Danio rerio: one gene and its partner. The protein of the gene in region 1 interacts with the protein of each later gene in a biochemical or structural test. Links are inferred from orthologs where the notes say so. Each region holds a gene or a part of one and is shown on either strand. Other genes may lie near its edges.

Evidence for each region.
Region 2: the proteins of akap1b (region 1) and mycbp form a complex in vitro, tested with the Homo sapiens proteins (2 studies listed by BioGRID). The link is inferred for Danio rerio from reciprocal best matches to the Homo sapiens genes AKAP1 and MYCBP.

What each region holds. Positions count from the first base shown.
Region 1 is NC_133190.1:33,440,304-33,444,123, forward strand, and holds the end of akap1b (A kinase (PRKA) anchor protein 1b), read right to left. Parts: intron 3,618-3,820; coding exon 3,550-3,617; intron 3,468-3,549; coding exon 3,394-3,467; intron 3,305-3,393; coding exon 3,239-3,304; intron 733-3,238; coding exon 670-732; 3' UTR 563-669; coding exon of another isoform or gene 329-562; 3' UTR 280-328; downstream 1-279.
Region 2 is NC_133194.1:32,921-36,376, reverse strand, and holds mycbp (C-Myc-binding protein), read right to left. Parts: upstream 2,091-3,456; 5' UTR 2,081-2,090; coding exon 2,066-2,080; intron 1,582-2,065; coding exon 1,509-1,581; intron 1,417-1,508; coding exon 1,368-1,416; intron 1,187-1,367; coding exon 1,057-1,186; intron 847-1,056; coding exon 799-846; 3' UTR 674-798; downstream 1-673. UniProt on the Homo sapiens protein: May control the transcriptional activity of MYC. Stimulates the activation of E box-dependent transcription by MYC.

The DNA of each region.
Region 1 (3,820 bases):
GGACAGACAAACATTGAGATGAAGGACATGAAGTTATGGTCATTTATTCCTCGCCAAAACGTTCTGGCTTTCCACCATGCCTGGAAAGTGAAACACTTTGATGAAGCCGTGATAGACGCAAAACATGACTTCTCAAGTCAGCAGCAGCAACAACAACGCGCAGTTTCTACCGCACCACAGTTTTCTTCTTCAATGTACTTTATTACTACAGGTTCTTCAAATCCACAGCAAGATAATCCACAGTTGTTTTTCTTTTTGTGTGTGCTGGAAGGAGTCTGATTGGACGGAAAACATGATTAACCTTTATTTTAGTTACAATATTTTAAATTTACAAGAGCACAAAGTCAATAACACTTGAGTCCTTATTGGTTGTTCGGTAACTTGACGATTGGCTCTTTCTCTTTTTTCGTACAGTAAATTTCTTACGCAAGGGGGATAGAAATGAAAAAAGAAAACAGAAAAAGGCTGTATGCAGGGGAAAGCAAATCAAAAAGGAAAGAAGAAAAAAATTTATTCCAGGAGCCAGTGATGCGCACTTCAGGAGGTGGTGGTGGAGGACACGGTGGGAGAGGACAGGACTGAACCTGCAGATATCCATGAGTGGTGATTATTAAGGGGCAGGTGGGCCATGAGGTGAGTGAGGAGAGCAGGGCGAGGAGCTCTGGAGGATCAGAAACTGTCCACCCAGGTGCCGAAACCTCGCTCTGCCAAAGTGCGATTGAGCAGGACCAGCTGCAAAAGAAGGAATGGAGTATCAAAGTTATATCACATTTTACCATTCTAAAAGATATGGAATGATAAACAACCTGCTGTGCTTTAAACATTTCTTCAAATAAAAAACTTGAAGTAAATAAAGAATAAAAAAATATCAATAATAAAGTAAATAAATAATCATCCATCTATATACACATACAGGGGTTGGACTGAATGAAACTGAATCACAATAAATCATTAGTATTGGTGCAGGACCTCCTTTTGCAGCAAATAAAGCATTAATTTGTCTTGGGACTGACAGATACAAGTCTTGCACCATGGCCAAAAGGATTTTTAGCCATTCTTCTTACAGAATAGTAGTCAGGTCACTATGGCTACGTTCACATTACGAGGCTTAGTGCTTAAATCTGATTTTTGCTCAGATCTGATGTTTTTGCATGGCTGTTCACACTGCTCTTATAAATGTGGCCAATATCAGATTTGCAGTGTGAACAGATCATGGTCCTAAACTGACCCGCATGCGCAAAAGTGCATTACAAAGAGCACAAAATTATGCACCTGTGTGTGCTGCATGAGTAAGCACGTTGTCAGATCATGCTTATATGATTATTACCCTTTTCACAGACAACCGTGGTTTAATTCATGAGCTGTAAATGATTGCTCAGCCACTACTAATGTGTATTTCGGCAATTGAGACCTAAAATAAGTCTCCTGTGATAAACAAAAAAAAAAAAAAAAAAACACTGATCGTTTGTGATTTATGAAGCGCGGTGCGTGGCGCTCTGACCACAGGTGTAGTGAACTCATCAAGGGTTAATGAGCAGCCGCAGACTGAGCTGTGAAGGCAGAGTTGGTTTATCTCTGTTTGAGGAGTTACTTAATTTTACTTCGTTATAAACAGCAGACACGTGCAGAAGGGCGGTTTGGGTGCTCGAGCACCTGCCCTTTTTTTCTCTCGGAGAGAAAGTTCTTCCTCATTTGCACCCGAATCCCCTATCTGTAACACCCACAACGCTTTTCGGCTTCGCAATCAACCCGTGCCTCAATCGTTAACCAGATTAGTTAACAAGCACCAGTTATGCCTTCAAAATCTTTTTCAACATGAACAACCAACTTTCTGTGGTACTGTAATCGCCCTGTGTGCCATTCTACTGTGCTGCTGAGAGGTAGATGATGTCTGCAGCACAGAATGATGACGCATGTCACTCAAAGATTGTGTAAAAGTCACATGAAATCCAACATATCCGTTCACACTGCGGTCGCAGTGCAGAACATCAGATCTGTGTCTGATTTAAGACCACATATGAAAGTGGCACAGATCTGACCTGAAAAGATCAGATTCCATGCGGTTCGGGCTGTTCACACTGTCATCACCTGTCACATGAGGGGGAAAAAAAATCTGATTCGTGCCACATTTACCTGCAGTGTGAACGTAGCCTATGTGATGCTGGTGGAGGAAAACCTTTCCTAACTCACTCCTCCAAAACACCCCAAAGAGGCTCAATAACATTTAGTTTGGTGACTGTGCAGGCCTGCCATTGGAGATGTTCAACTCAACTTTTTATGTTCATCAAAGAACTCTGCCACCAGTCTTGCTGTGTGCATTGGTGCATTATTATCCTGATATACGGCACCACCTTTAGGATACATTGTGCGAACCAATGAGTGCACATGGTCCACCAGAATGGTTCAGAAGTCCTTCACAATGACACGGCCATCTAGCACAAGTATTGGGCCTAGAGAAAGCCACGTAACTGCAGCCCAAAAAAATCACTGATTCACCACCATGCTTCACTATAGGAATGCAACAATCTGGGTGGTATGCTTCTTTCTCCACACCGTAACTGTCCCAAATATGGAAAAGACAGTGAAGGTGGACTCAGAGAACAATACATCTTTCACATTGTCTACAACCCAAGATTTTCGCTGCTGGCACCATTGAAACTGACAGTTGGCATTGGCATCAGTGACCAAAGGTTTGGCTATAGCAGTCCGGCCATGTATATTGACCCTGTGGAGCTCCTGACGAACAGTTTAGGTGAAAACGGAGAGTGAAGATGCACATTTAATTTTGTTTCTTGAATACAATCCCGGGTTAGCACCCAGACATCCCTTTCAGACAACTTTCTCTTGCATCCACAGTTACTTCTGTTGGAAGTGGCTCTTTTTCTTGGTGGTATGCTGACATTACCCTGGATACTGTGGCTCTTGATACATCAAAGACTTGCTGTGTTGGTCAGATACACCAGAGGCAAGGACCAACAATTTGTCCCACAAACGTAACCTTTTCTTTGCTTACTAAACCTTCACGCTCTGCTCTTACTGGTGGAATGTGCCATCAATGAAGATTAGTCACTAGGGTGTTCAATTTTAGCCATAATACCGCAAACACTAAACTGGCCAGTGTTCCAGTTTCATCATCCAAGCCCTGTATATATCCACTTCAGCTGCTGACTACTGTGTGTATGTGTAAAGAGGAGATAGATTAGCACATGTAGACGGATGTAAAATCAGATATTTTTACCTCCTCTCCCACCATGTTCCACATGTGTACTAAAGGAAGTCCTGTATTATTGTCATAGTTGGTGACCTGCATGAGAAAATTGGCCATTAAATTATGTTACTTGTAAACAGCATCAACATAAATGTCATGCATTAATGAATGATTTAAAGACTCACTTGTGCCAGCAATGGAACCCCTCTCGTCATCTCTTCCAGTGCAGAATTGGCCTCTGCTGAGAACCGATCCTCTCCTAATGAAGACATAAACAACAGTGAGATCTAGATAGAGCGAAATGATGACGAACTCAACTTATGACATTTAAAACAAGGCACCTGGTAGTGGGGCAATGTTGTCCAATAGCACTTCTGTTCCTTGGAAGGGTAATGTCACAAAGTCTGACCTGAAAAGCGAATTGAATTAACTTATCATTTAATTTAAGGCCATAACAAATATGATTTTTTAAAATATGTAAAATAACCAATCATGATCAGCAATTCACCATCTGTGACAGAAATATTCTCATAAAATGTTAAACACCATAATTCTACATGCATACTATTTTTTCTTTAAAAGAAACTTGATAATTTAATTAATCGAAAGTGC
Region 2 (3,456 bases), on another chromosome or scaffold:
GCTCCAACACTCTTACCTGTAGGTTTCAAACAAGCCTGAAGGACTCAATTAGTTTGATCAGGTGTGTTTAATTAAGGTTGGAACTAAACTGCAGAGCTGCGGCCCTTTTGGAGCTGAGTTTGACACCTGTATATTCTGCTAACACATAGCTTTAGCAGATCACCTGCAGCACAATAAGATGCATCACAGCTGTTTAACATGAGCAGAGGCTGAACACGGCGTCTGGAGACGGTAAAGCTCATCTACACGTGTCGGTGCTCAGAGCAGATCCTGCAGGCCTCTGTTCATTACTCAGGAGCTGCAGTGCAGTCATTACACCACACACACACACACACACACACACACACACACACACCGCTTACTCCGGCTGGAGAATACACACCACACACTGAAGACGTGCTGCTGTCCCTCTGCTTACTAGAGCACCTGACCAGAGACCGAGAGTGACATGGCATTAGCATGAACACACACACACACACACCATCTCACCCGTTGATCATCATCACTCCTCTAGATGTGATGGTAAGAGCTCAGGAGTCTGCAGTGTGTGTGTGTGTGTGTGTTCTGGATGTGTTCAGGGGCGTTCAACTGAAGTCCATGTGAGTATAGTTTGAAGAATCAGTAAAGAGGAACAGTGAAGTGCTCAACACACACACACACACACACAGCAGGATCATTGCAAAATAATATTTATTCAACATCAGACACAAAGCTGAACAGAAACAATCAACAGGTCTTCAACATCCTGTCACTAAACCAACACACACACACACTTTCTGCAGATCTGCTGGAGCTCCTCTACTCGACTGCTGCTGCTTCATCCTGTGGCGGCTCATACTGCAGCAGCTGTGGAGACACACACACATACACACACACACACACACACGAGATTTGGCTAAGCTCATGTTTAGCAGAGTAATGTGTGAGGGAGCCACTATGTGTGTGTGAGAGAGAGAGACAGAGTACACAAGCACACCTGTCTGTGAGTGAGTGAGCATGTGTGTGTAAGAAAGCTAGCATACCTGTGTAAGAGTGTGTGTGTGTGTGTGCGCTCACCCTGCTCTTCAGCTCCTGGTTCTCCTCCATCAGCTGCTGGTGTTTCTGCTGCAGTGTGTTCAGCTCCTCCCGCAGACTCTCCGCATCCTCCGCCTCCACTCCCGAAACCCCCAGATGATGCTTGATGAAGCTGAAGCGGCTCGTTAAGGTTGGGTTAGTTAAGATAGGAGGAGGCTAGTTTGGGCTATTCTATCTCTTACAGCAGCGCTCATGAATTTGAATAAAACATTGATATTATTCACAAAGATGAGCACAAACTCAGCAGACAGCGGGAAACATGGCGGGGTGAGGGTGTGTGTGTGTGAGGATACTCCAAGGCATTGTTGGGCTTCTCCGTTTCCTCGTACAGCGCCACTAAGACTGAAACGCAGACATCAGATTAAACACACGCTGAGGAATGATATTCATCATCATCATCATCATCATCACGGGCTGAAACTGCCTGGACTCACCGTTGGTCAGGCTGTCGAGGACTCCAGCTTTCTCCAGATATCTCCTGAACTGCTCACGCTTCGACTCGGATGCCTGAAACAGAAGAGAAACACACATTACAGAAACAGTTCATCAGGCGGTGTTGTCTACAGCAGAGTGAGCTACACACACACACACACACACACCGCTGGAGCTCTCCACACTCATCATTACAGCTCCAGCTGAAGCTCATCAGCTCAGAGAAGACGCTTCGCTCCAGACACCACACACAAACACGCATATAAACACACACACACACACACACACATAAACACACAAACACACATACAAACACACACGGGCAGCGCGTTTCTTTAGCGCTGGTTTAACACTGGTCTGCGTGTGGACCGTCGCCTGAGGCAGACAGGAATGAAGGAACCTTCAGCGCGGGTCTTCAGCTCCTCTGACTGAGCTCAGCTGCGGACGCCTCTCAGCGCTCTCCGTTTCCGGTCTCATTAAACGGCGTGTCTAAGCTCGACTTTCAGCGGTTAGCTTGTTTGTGTTTGTGTGTGTGTTTGTTTGTTTGTTGTTTACTCACTCTGTAATGCGCCATCGCGGACGACAGACACCAAATGTTTGACTCGCTGATAGACTCTCGCGTGCACATGCGCAGAGGAAAGACGGAACAAACACACACACACCGTCACCCAGGCAACGCTTAAAGGGGCGGCAGCGACATCCATAGATATATACACTAGATATCGCATAGGGAGCCTGAGCATGCGTCAATAGTGCCGCCACATTGGTACAGTGCTCCCAGGACAATGTCATTCAAGACAGTGTTATTACGTGAAGATGCGGGACTTTAGCGCTGTCTACGGGTGTAGTAACGAGCAAACAAAGAAAACAAAGCACAAAGGCAGAACATTTCATAGGTAAGATTAAGTTTTTTACGTTTTTGCATGTTCTGAACTTTTGTGCTAAACAGGTAACGTTATTGATGATAATACAGTCACTACTGCATTCACCATACGGCAAAGCAGCTCCAACTCGCACTAAACACTCGGCTTATGCTAGTTTTGTTGAATAAAATCAGCAAACAATGCAAAAGAAATATGAAAACGACATGCTGCGCTGCCAGAAACATGTATTACTGTCGGCAAGTGAACGAGTCGCTCACCCTCACAACACGACACACCACAACACGACACACCACAACACAACACACAACACGACACACCACAACACACCACGACACAACACAACAACACGACACACCACAACACAACACACAACACGACACACCACACCACACCACGACACAACACAACAACACGACACACCACAACACAACACACAACACGACACACCACACCACACCACGACACAACACAACAACACGACACACCACAACACAACACACAACACGACACACCACACCACACCACGACACAACACAACAACACGACACACCACAACACAACACACAACACGACACACCACAACACAACACGACACACCACAACATGACACACCACAACACGACACACCACACCACAACACAACACACCACAACAACACGACACACCACACCACAACACAACACACCACAACAACACGACACACCACACCACAACACGACACACCACAACACAACACGACACACCACAACACACCACAACAACACGACACACCACAACAACACGACACACAACACGACACACCACAACACGACACAACACACAACACAACACACCACAACACACCACAACACGACACAACACAACACACAACACGACACACCACAACACACCACAACAACACGACACACAACAACACGACACACCACAACACGACACAACACGACACACCACAACATGACACAACACAACAACACGACACACCACAACACAACACAACAACACGACACACCACAACATGACACACCACAACATGACACACCACAACACGACACACCACACCACAACA